3 linked regions of the Schizosaccharomyces pombe genome follow. Changing the gene in region 1 together with any one later gene gives a genetic interaction. Each region holds a gene or a part of one and is shown on either strand. Other genes may lie near its edges.

Evidence for each region. Genes that interact genetically often act in the same process or in processes that back each other up.
Region 2: mutations in spf31 (region 1) and sap114 together harm fitness more than expected from each alone (negative genetic interaction), as found in Schizosaccharomyces pombe (one large-scale study listed by BioGRID).
Region 3: mutations in spf31 (region 1) and gnr1 together harm fitness more than expected from each alone (negative genetic interaction), as found in Schizosaccharomyces pombe (one large-scale study listed by BioGRID).

The regions. Positions count from the first base shown.
Region 1 is NC_003423.3:1,068,433-1,072,070, reverse strand, and holds spf31 (DNAJ protein Spf31), read left to right. Parts: upstream 1-2,034; 5' UTR 2,035-2,128; coding exon 2,129-2,179; intron 2,180-2,302; exon of another isoform or gene 2,303-2,382; coding exon 2,383-2,961; 3' UTR 2,962-3,110; downstream 3,111-3,638. Other genes in the region: TRAPP III complex subunit Trs8502, read left to right, coding at 1-500; rhp18 (postreplication repair E3 ubiquitin-protein ligase), read right to left, coding at 650-1,813.
Region 2 is NC_003424.3:1,171,789-1,176,196, reverse strand, and holds sap114 (U2 snRNP-associated protein Sap114), read left to right. Parts: upstream 1-1,748; 5' UTR 1,749-2,041; coding exon 2,042-2,168; intron 2,169-2,217; coding exon 2,218-2,524; intron 2,525-2,587; coding exon 2,588-2,904; intron 2,905-2,989; coding exon 2,990-3,364; intron 3,365-3,407; coding exon 3,408-3,727; 3' UTR 3,728-3,846; downstream 3,847-4,408. Other genes in the region: ept1 (CDP-alcohol phosphatidyltransferase class-I family protein), read right to left, coding at 416-1,439, 1,490-1,626; cardiolipin synthase/ hydrolase fusion protein Crd1, read left to right, coding at 4,071-4,198, 4,241-4,297, 4,341-4,408. UniProt on the Schizosaccharomyces pombe protein: Involved in pre-mRNA splicing. May be involved in endoplasmic reticulum-associated protein degradation (ERAD) and required for growth at low and high temperatures.
Region 3 is NC_003421.2:765,374-769,318, forward strand, and holds gnr1 (heterotrimeric G protein beta subunit Gnr1 ), read right to left. Parts: upstream 2,171-3,945; 5' UTR 1,997-2,170; coding exon 797-1,996; 3' UTR 563-796; downstream 1-562. Other genes in the region: wybutosine biosynthesis protein Tyw1, read right to left, coding at 2,613-3,945. UniProt on the Schizosaccharomyces pombe protein: Negatively regulates the pheromone-response pathway. Acts as a structural mimic of the G protein beta subunit thereby interacting with gpa1 which then inhibits gpa1 signaling.

The sequences.
Region 1 (3,638 bases):
TGAGTTTGACGAACACATTGAGAATAAACGAGTATATGCAATCTGCTATGTTAAATTATTTGAATAAATCCTTCAATTCCTATTATCATGCTGCGCGCTGTTTCCTTCTCCTGGGACAATTCCTTAGTTGTTTACCAGCTCCAAAAGTGGACGATGCTGCTAACTGGAATGCAGGTTTGCTTTATTCTAAGAGATTGGGTCCTGTAGGAAGAGCAATGATCTTTCAACAAACTCACACTCTCTTTAAATCCCTTTCTTATTTAAAAACTGAATCTACGGACCCGTTCTCTAATAAGCGAACTCGTAAAGCCGCACTTTGGTGTGTATTAACTGCCGATGCTTGGTTGAGATGTCGCATTCCCTTTCGTGCCAAGCCTTTTGTAGAGGAAGCAAAATTGTTTTATGGAAAAATCGATTGGAAGGATTTGAAGGAGTGTGTTGCAGCACTTGACGAAGTCGAAGTCTCCAAACAACCTGCTTCTAATATTCCTTCTAGCTAGAAATGCCCCACTTTCAAAATGTATATTATTTTATTTACCAAATATCAAAATTTCTACAGGTTATTAATGTGATTATATATAGCGAAATAAACTAATAAGTTAATCTGATAATGAAAATTCGTTAAAACGAATCCAACGAAAATTAATGATTAGGACTGTGGTCCATCGGATCCCGTTTGTGAATTGGTAAGGTCAATAGTAAGAGGGGGACTAACTGAAGTGGCAGGAAAACCGTTAGATGTAGAAGGTTCGGTGGAAGATTCAACAGCAGTGTTCCTCAATGAATCATTTTTGTTAGTTGTTGATTGTTTTGCACGGTTGATGAGATCAGCAAAATCCTCAGCGTATGCCTTCTCCCAATCGCCCCCTCCTAGTTTTTCTTTTTCTACTCCAATTGATTTCGACTGAACGCGCTCCCAATCTATAAGTTGGCGAATTAAATTTCTTTTTGAAACAGGTTGTTTCTGGTCTAAATTAGAATTGTAAAGGGTAACCCATTTAGCATGTCGACGTTGTAATAGTTGTTTATGTCCATCGGTTGGAAGCCCCATCTCTGATAATTTGGAACGAATTTTTGATTCGGAAAGGAGTGCATAAGTTAGTTTGGGAAGCCGCACTCGATCTTTCAAGGGTAGTTCATCTGCAGAGTTAAACGACCTTAACCTGCGCTTCGTGATAGAATCATCATCTGTTTTGAATGATAGTAATGAATTAGATTTACTATTATCCTTATTTTTATAAGGTGAGGAAGAGGAAGACGGGGAAGAAGGTGAGTTAAGACAAGAATCCAAGTGTTGATTAATTTGATTATGAGGAACTAAATTTGAACATGCAGGGCAGTGAACTAAATCCTCACGTTTCCTCTTTTTAGAATCCCTAGATGTCTTTTTAGCTATAGAAGCAGGAGATGAATTTGAAGCCAAGTCGTCTTCCCATTCCTCATCGCCAGAAGCTGAATCCTGTGCGATAACTGTTTCAGGAGCTTGAAGTACTGGCTTTGGCACATTTTCTACTTTTAAGAATTCAAACAATGTTGGCCTGATCACTTTAAAGGACTCTAAAATCTCTTCTAATATAGTGTTTTTTCTTAAGCGGCTTTCTTGCTCAGGAGCACGACAAGCAGGGCACATAGGATGTTCTCTCAGATAATCGCGTATACAAAACGAACAAAAGGTGTGTGAGCAAGAAGTAATTAAGGGGGCGCGAAAGTATTCATGACAAATCAGACATCGTAAAGAAGAATCCAAGCCCTTCAACGATGGTATTTTCGTTTGGTTCCAATCAGATGGATCTGTAGCATCTAGTTCATTCATCTTATTTTAAATTGCAAACCCATTAATAGTTAATATGCACTAATATTCAAACTTAATTAGGGATTCGTAAGAGCACTCTCGGACGGTAAATTTTTAAACCTTAGACACATCGATATGTAAATGAATATGTATATTCATATACATTATTACATTTAAAGAACAAATGTAAAGAACCTGTTTCTAAACGTACTTACAGATTCTTACCCTCGATACCAGAAGTTGGCGAATGCAAAACCTAACTCACCACCAAATTTATCTATAAAGGATTTTTGAAATTTGCACTCTTGTAATTTCAATTTTGGGGCTCGGTCAGAAATGGCAGACGTTGCAAAGTTTTTAGATCGAGTTGAAGGAAGTTTAAACAGAGTAAGTTTTAGCATTTTATTGACATTGCATGTGAAGATTTCTAGATGTACCTTAGTAGGTTGATTCGATTTATCTTATTCTCAGAATTTTTTTTTTTTTTGTTTATACAGATTATATACTACAATGAAACAATAGAATAACTTTGCCTATGCGTATATTACTTGCTAATCAAACAAAGTCGATGAATTCTAACCTTTACTTAGGGACGTGAGATTGACAGAATATTGTCTTCCTTTAAATTAAATGCATATGATGTTCTTGATATTTTGCCAGGAATGAGTGTTGATGATATTCGAAATTTGTACAGGAAAAAATCATTAATGATTCATCCAGACAAAAATCGCGATAACCCAAAAGCTGCAGACGCATTCGACATTTTAAAAAAGGCGGAGTCTGATCTAGTTAATGATAAGATTCGGGAATCTCTTGATTCGGCTTACACAGCTGCAAGGAACCAACTATTGAAAGAAAAAAAATTGTCTCCAAATTCGGAAGACGTCCATTCAGACCAGTTTTTATTTGATTTAAAAGTACGTTGGCGTGAAATCCTTATTGCAGATGAAGTTGCAAGAAGACGAGCACGGCAGCTCGATTTAGCAAACCAGCAAAGAGAACAAGCGCGTCAAGATGAAATTGCAAGAGAACGAAAGCGTCGTGTAGAATCAGAAAAGGTTTGGGAAGAGACAAGAGATAATCGTGTGGGAAATTGGCAGGATTTCCTTCACAAAACGAAGAAAAATAACTTAAAAAAGAAGAATAAAAAACCAAGGGTTCTTGGATAAAAGACGAAGTTACGCGTTTTATTGTACATTAAAGCTTCGACGACTTAACCTCTTTTAGTATTTGTACATGACCTATGCGATTGAAATGATTTAATATGAAGTTTTCAACAATTTATAAATTGAAATTTCTTTTCATGCTACGTGAGCAGATTACCATTAAGTAAACTAATCAACAAATTCTACTGAAATTTGCTTTTCGACAGTGATATGTATCAGTATCGTAATAGAATTAATATGAATGCCGTTTAACCATGGTAACTGCTTTGTATATTTACAGCGTTCTATGGCATATATTCCTAATGGGTGCATGTAAAGAAAGAGAATGATTGCCCTACCCACTGTCGAATAAACAACAAACTAAAGATGTTTGTATGTACAAGGCTTTTTGGAGGAAAAAGTCCTTAAAGAGAGAATAAGACCAAGAGCTTCCTTTTTTTCCTGGCATAGCATTAAAGCGCACCAACTGAAGAAACAAGCATCATCCTAACGTGCATCCCATTATGAGTTCGTATACCAAGTTAAAAAAAAGAGGGCAGAATAACACTAAAATTACTAATTATGTCTTGATCATATGTTTAAAAGAGATAAAAAGAAATAAGAATAAAGAAAAAACGCGACCATCATTATATATGTAAGTGAAAAGGGGCAGCGATTTAAATAAAGAAGAGAGAGGACTG
Region 2 (4,408 bases), on another chromosome or scaffold:
GTGGAACCAGTCATCTTAGTTAGTGCAGCCCCGGTATTCCACGGTGAAAAGCAAGTTTGCAGTGTAGAAGACAAATGGACCATTTGTTCATCAGTATATACAGTTAGTTAAAAGGATACGAAAGGCTGGATCATTTAGTGAACGAAGTCGCAAGTGAAATACTTGTTCATTATTATGTTCTGGTAAAAAAACCAACTTTTATTACTACAGCAGGAAAACAAACAAAAGTAACATATTGTTGGCAGAAAACACACAACCGAAAAAAACCTGTCTACTAGGAAATGGATCATTTTGATACTTCTGATCCGTTAGATACATTGCAGAACAAAAGATCGACCGAAAGGTTATCAATGACAAAATCTCTCTGGACCCTTTTGTTCTCATCTCTATTCTGTCCAAACCATCATCATCTAGTTCAATTCTTCTTGGACTCTGGTTTGGATGGAATAGTCAAACATTTAATGCCGTACTCTTCCGTAATCATGGCAATGACATGTGCAACAAAGTTGCCGTAAACACCAATGCAAATTCCAACGTAGCAAAAAAAGTATTCCGTCTGAACGTTTTTTAATACGCCAAAAGTATAGGCGTCCACGGCATCCACCAAGAATGGAAGAATAAGCACATTCCAGTATGGGAAGGGAGATTCGGTAATGTGAGAAACAATTACCACTCCAACCGAATAAGCAAAGATAAAAGCGTTCAAGCAAAAAATAGTGAGGAAATGATGTTCAAAGAAAGCAGGATACTTGGCATAGAGTGAAAAGACAGCCATCCATTGGAGGAAATAGGGAAGGATACCACTCAATGCTTTAATCACACTTCCGTTGTTCTTTTGGACGGCTTGAAGAGCATTTCGTAAACTTTGTAAGACATTCAATAGCAGGGCAAATGCCATAAAGTTGTACAAGCATGATCCATATGTGTAGTATGGCAGAAAGGAACGTACAAATCCCCATGACTCGGGAGTGGGATGTAGCTTGAGCCAGAAAGAATCACCCTTAATAGCTGTAAGGGCAAATAGTCCAATAACCATTACAATTCCTTCGACAGGACCCGAGAAGTATGAAAGGTACAAAGTACCCGTATGGTATTCTTCCCAAGTAGAGATGTAAAAGTATAATAAGCTGGCAAATTGAGTAAGGATTGAGCTAAACATATCTAGTTGCAGCAGTTCAATCGTCAGTAAAACTTCAAAGCTCGTATTGATGGCGTCTACTCCATGGTCAAATAATTGACCTAATGGAGATGATGTGCCAGTACGACGCGCTTGCGAGCCATCAATAGCGTCAAAACTTTGGTAAAGAAAAAGGCCAATCGCCCAAGAAGCATACACCCATGATGGGAAAGCATCCATCTCATAATGATACTTGTACACAAGCATAGTAAGGATATTGATAACAACGAATCCAAGCCCGATCAAAGTAATCAAATTAGGTCTAAGTAAAGAGTTAGTAAGAATAAGCAAGCAAACGGGTGTAGATCATACGCCATAGACATGGGAATCACCTTCAAAAGTTGATTCCACCAGTACGGCTTCAAAATATATTTTGAAAGAAGTGAGTTATCAATCGCACTATATTTATAGTTATGAAGATTCTTTAACTGCTTCCGGTTTAACTGCATCTTGAGAAACTACCTGGATATCCTTTCCTTATTCTCCGATAAAGTACTGGTAGAGGGTAAACATGTTACGCGTCTTAGTGTGTAGAAATAAAGGCAAAGCAACGAATGCAGATAAACCTTCTACCGATAAATAAATGTATAATGTAGCTTGCAAAAAAACTTGCACTATAACTATCTTTTAAATTCTAAATTGTAAGGATAATTGTTGCTATCAACCGTTTTGATGTTATTTGTCCATCCGCAGTGGATTACGGATGCCCTAGGCAACAACTGTTTAGAGCAGCAAGGTCGCCCTAAACTTTTATAAACTTCTATTGAATTTCAATAGTCCTTTCTTTTCGCTTGTCCATCGCTTCATCTGCCTTGTGCGACAAGTGTCCTTCCACCACTACCTTTTTCTGCATAAGTCTCACATATGAGTTCTTTAATGGAATTCCAAGACAGAAATACGACAAATAATGAAACAGAACACCAAAAAAGCATCACTGATCAAAGTTCATCGGTCCCTGCAGGGGTAATTTTACCTCCTCCAGCAATTCGAGGTGAGTCATAGTAATTAGTACAATAGACGCGCCTGCTAACGTAGCTTAGAAATAATTGATAAATCTGCTAGTTACGTTGCCAGAAATGGCCCAGCTTTTGAAGAAAAAATTCGCCAGAATGAACAGGCAAATACTAAGTTTGCTTTCTTGCATGCTAATGACCCCTACCACCCATATTATCAGCACAAATTAACTGAAGCGAGGGAGGGAAAATTGAAGAGTCATGCCACAGGCTTGTCAACCCAAAAAACATCCACTTTGGCTCGTCCCATTCAAAAACCTATAGAGGCAACTATTCCTGCTCCCTCACCGTACTTGTTTTCAGAACCACTTCCTTCTATTTCATCACTAGATTTGTAAGTATCATCTCAACTATTATTTCCTTCTTCTTTGAAGTTGCTAATTAACCGTGAATCTAGAGACGTGCTCCGTTTAACTGCGCGATATGCGGCAGTTCGTGGTTCTTCTTTCTTAGTGAGTCTTTCTCAAAAAGAGTGGAATAACACTCAATTTGATTTTTTAAAGCCAAATAATGCATTGTACCCTTACTTTATGCGTATAGTTCAACAATATACTTCTCTAATTAGAGAGCCCATTTCTTCGCCAGAACAGGAGCTTCGTGAAAATGTGAGAGACCCTTATAGCTTACTTTCTAAAATTCAGCCGCGTGTAAGGTGGCAATCGCATATGGAGAGCCAAAAGAAAAAACAAAAGGAAGAAGCCGAAAAAGAGAAGTGTAAGTGTATATTGAGATGCAAAAACTGGTTCAGGAAGTCCAATATTCTTCATTTACCATTTGAATTGGAACTAACTTGTCTTAGTGGAATATGCACAAATTGATTGGAACGATTTTGTCGTTGTTGAAGTGATTCAATTCACAAAGTCCGATGAACATGCAAAATTAGCTAAACCTACGAATTTAGCGGATTTACAAACTGCTACTTTAGAACAAAAGTCTGCCATGTTTACCATGCCTGACCAAAATTACACTATTGAGGAAGCTCCTCCTACAGCGGAGCCTTGGGAGCCCATAAGTGCGCCTAAAAAACAAGAATTTGGTGTTTCTCTTCCTCCATCACTTGCTTCTCCAGAAAAAGGAGGTATTTCTTCAACTACTTCAGTTTCTCCTGCCGCACAAGCTTCTCCCGTTTTGTCTACCACTACTCAGCCGAAGGTACAAAAGCCAGTACCAAAGGGTAAGTTTATATTCCTTATTGTAACTTTACTGACCCTGTTTAGCTTTCCAGCCCAAAGTTCCGATGGAGATATCGCCTTTCTCAGGTGAATTGGTTCCCGCTACAGAACTAGAAGAGCATATGCGTCTAAAATTACTTGACCCTCGCTGGCAGGAACAGCGCAAAGTTGAAGAATCTAGGAAATCAACTTTAAATTTAGAGAACGTGAACGTTGCTGCAAATATGAAAAGATTGGTTAGTCAACGGACTGATTTGTTTGACGTCCAAAACGGGGTAGAAATCTCTCAAGAGGAAATCGAACGAAGAAAACGTGCTGCTACTCAGAGCGCTTGGGGAGCAACTCCCACAAATAAACGCCGGTAGATTTCATAGAACTTTTTTTAATTTTGTTAATTTTTACTTTATTTTATTTAAGCTTCGTAGGACGCCGAAATCTATTAGTTAATTTGCTTCTACAACTCGTGAAATAAATAAGATGTAAATAAACCAGGTGTTGTAGACTTTCTCCAACTAATTGAGAATACAAATATTCTTTATTATAAAAAGTCCAATACACTAAACAAAGCTGGATTTTAACTTAGGAAATGCGGGTCTGGTTTTCATACCCGCCCACCGTCATCCTTAAGTTGTCATACCACGTAACCGCACAAACCTCTTAATTTTTTACTTCTTACATTGTTGATTCTTCATTTATCGGCTTTAATAAATGCTACATACTATCAATTATAGATCTTGGCATTTGGCTGCCAGGCAGTTAGGGCGTTCAACGTTTCGAAAGTTTACGACCGAATCGTCTACTAAAAGCCCTATTGCAGATGTTTGTTTCGCATTTGAGTAATACAGTAATTAATGATCGATTTTTGAAACTAACCAAAGCAGTATTGATGGAGTTTTAATTAGAGGAGGAAGAGGTTTGAAAGAAGGAACGAAGACGTAAGCTTAACTATGAACTACCATTTTCAAACTAACTTGTAAGTTTGAAATTTTTGCAAAAAAATAATATACCTTTTATTCTGTTAACGAATGGAGGTGGTATGCATGAGA
Region 3 (3,945 bases), on another chromosome or scaffold:
TACTTATTGATAGATTGGTTGGTTCATTTTTTTTCTTTCATCTTTTTCCAATCTATATGTATGTGTATATAAATATTTTTTATTTTATTATTTATTTTTTATTTATTTATTTTTTTCATTTCCCTCTATTTATTCACTCCGGATCACTTCCATCCTTATGTTATTTTAAAAAAAAATTTTTTTTTTCTTGTTCTATACTTCTGTTTATTTTCATGTCCTTTTCATTTCGTTCAATTAATTTCATTCCATTTCCTTTTCTAATATTTTTTTTCCTTTGCGATCGCTACCTTTTCCATACATATCTTGTTTTTTCCTCCATAGTATCCACCTTGTAAAACAAAATTCAATTAAATTGAAAAATTAATATTTTTAACAAATTTTTGAAAAGTTCGAAACTGCTGATTTACAATTTTCATCCATTCTTTGCTTTCCATTTTCTCCATTTCTCCTCTACTTGCGACACTTGGAAATCCATGTATAACCGAGTTTAAGGTTATTTAATAAGCGAATGTGTAGTTTTATTAATACAAAGATTGTTGCGCTCTTATAATCAACTATTTGCATAAAATTCATCTCTTTTATTTTTTAATTTATCATAATCTAAATAATGAAACCCCTCAACATGTCTGAGGACTCCTCCTGATTGCGAAAAAAACACCCATTCACCAATACACCAATTTAGAACCGGTTTTCTAATGTTTTTCTATTAATAATCAAATCATCCTCATAAAGTTCTTCCTTCAAGCTCACCATTTTTTATTTTTTCAAGTATTCATTCATTCCAAATTTTGCTTTTTCAATCCATCCAAACCTGTAAAGCCGAAACCGTTCCTGTCCAAAGATCCTTCTCTTTACTTTCATCCTCTTCTTCACTTTCATCCTTCTCATACTTGTAAATTCTATTTCCATAACATACACACTTTATCTGCATGTTTATAGGGTTCGCTTGTACTGTGTTTACCGTCAAATCGTAATTTCCCGTCACATGCGTTTCTTCCACAAGATCCTTGTTTCTCCATCTACGAATACTTCCATCCGTCCCACCTGCCAAAATTTCATCCTTTTTATCAGTGTCGAAAAGAATCCTTTGGTTCGTATCGCCACGATGCCCTTCAAGAGCATATACCATGTCGCGCACATACCGTATATCCCAAACTTCAATCTTATCACTGCATCTGCTTCCAACATATAACTTTTCTCCATCCTCACACCATTGTAGATGTGTCACTCCGTTTCCTCTTTCAATCGAAAACTCTAGCTGACAAGGGCGACGTCCGCAATCATTATAAATCCCAACTCGATTTGAATACGTTCCCACTGCCAATGTTTTCGAATCCATCGGATTCAAGGAAAAGCATGACTGTATACCCTTAAGACTAAATTCCCAAAGAGGGACTTTATATCCATGGGTTACCGTTGTCATGACAGGTTCTTTACATCCCGTTCTTATATTAAAATGATGGAGACAGTTTTTATCACCCGCAATCAAATACTCCCCATCGTTGGTAAACTGTAAACAATGCGATCCTTGATATCTCTCTTGGTGATCTATCATGTGATATGAAGCCTTGTTCTTTCCTGTAGTAAAATTGATCAACTTGATAGGTTGATCCCTACTAGACACTGCAAAAAGGTTACTGGAAGGATCGTCAAGTTTCATTCTCGAATACCAACTGTAACTGTAAACTGTTTCCGGTGATTGATATTTATACGACAGATGTTTTGAAAAGTTCAATGGTCCATCAGCCTTTTTGGATAAATCGGAAAACGGCACATTCCAACAGTTAAGACATTGATCCTCTGTTAACGAAAGTATAGTCGATCCATCCGGCGACCATCTTGACGAATGAAAAAAATTCAATGGCTTTGTTGGACTTTGAGCAATCACATTTGTTCCTAAATTAATACTTCCGCATACATAGCCGAAATTTTGACTTTTCTTCTTATGCACCAAGTCATCCTTCTGATCCTCAAAGGAGTTTACACAATTATCCATTCCTTCCTCAAGTTAACCTACTTTATTAACCATGTATGGATTATGGCTCTTCACAATGTCAACTTTAATTTTTTAAATATATAATATATATATGGATTTCTTTCTATCTGGTCATAAGGGTTGAAAACGAATAGTCCTTCTTTAAAAAACGAATTGTAATCATATGTAGTAGTTGTAATCTCAGTATGCTCGAATTACTCCAAGACATTTCCACGAGTCCTAAAACAGAAAGAATGTATTCTTTGTTTCTCAATCATAAAAAAAAAAGAAAATTAAAAGTTACGACTCAGGTTACTATATAAATAAAAATAGAGACAGGTTGCGATATACTTGTCTAACTAAAAAAACAATTGAGTACAATATCGTCAACATTTTTATTACTTTACGCCCATTGAAACTATAAATATATGAACGAAATTAAGCAAATAAGCCTTCATCGTTTTTTTGTATTGATAAATCAAAAAATATATTAATGAATTAACGAAAATAACCTATGCCAAAATCTTAATTTTTTTTTATCAATGAGTGCAGACGCGTACAAAAACTGCTCAACAGTTCATAAACTTTAGAGTGTGTCACTCTTTTTTTTCTTCAGCTATTTACTACAAAAGTTGGCTTACGCAGCGGCTTCCGAAATTGTAGCAGTTTCTGAAATGGTTGCAGAAATTGGTTTAGATGTTTGTGTCTTTTTCTTCCTGTGAAATCTTGTATCCTCTGGACTGAATCCACCGTTCCCAAACATGGCAAAATCGGGCGTGGATGCCATATAATCGAATGGACCAAAGTCTTTCTTTGTCCGTATTAATTCGAAAAACTTTGGATAATCAATGTGAGTATGCCAATGGCCATCTTTTTTGAACGCAGTTTGAGCAACTAAAATACTGCAGCTGTGTGCATGTTCTGCAGCAATTTCATAGCGGACGCCAAGGTCTTGTAAATGAATATCAATATACTCAATCAATTTTTTAACAAAGTCAATTACCTCTTCATAATAAGGCACATTCTTCATAGTCAACGGTGATTGATCCGAATTACCACTATAAGTAACCCCCTTAACTTCGATGAAACAAGGCACACCAAGACGAATCAGTTCAGTATACTCTTTAATTTGCTCCATGTTGAATCCCTTCACCAAGGTCATTCGGTAAACAGTACGCTGCCGCTTTTCACGTAAAATCTCCAAACACGTTAGCATTCGCTCCCAAAAATCCTTGAATAATGGTCGGTCTACTGATTTGAGACTCTGCTTAGTACTGGCATCAACAGAAACGTAGAGTTGAGTGACCATACCCATATTTCTTAATGCTTCAGGATGCTGGGCATTTGTTACTAAGAACGATGAAATCTCTCTTTCATGAAGCATGGACACAAATTCGTTTATGTATGGATAAAATATAGGCTCTCCAACCAAGGACAAAGCACAGTGACGAACACGAGACGCTTCTTCATATCTGTCGGGTAGAACACCAGGTACACCTTTCATTAATTTTAACTTGGCATAATGAGCCTTCAATATACCCTGAAGTATCATTTCTGGAGGATCAACCTTCCAGCGCCAAGAGGTTCCTACGGGATTCGTACCATGTCTCCAACAAAAAGTACATTTATTAGCACAGGCTAAACTTGGGGTAGCTTCCATACATAGATGACTTCGAATTCCATAGAAACTATACTTATAGCAAAAGCCTCGGCCACGCATAGCAGACTTTGTCCATCTGCAAATCTTTACACCACTATGTGAGCCAACTACGCTGTATCCCTGCTTTGTAAGGGCTTTATACGTAGGAGACTCTGTCGAAACCATCTCTTTAGTACCCACTGGCAAGGCTGCTTCTGCCTTTGCCTTGGCCATCATGGAACCCATATCCTCAACATCCATAACATCCGAACTAAGTGAATCCGTGTTTCCGATTTTCAAAAGCGTACCGTTTTTCAAGCATTCTGCTACA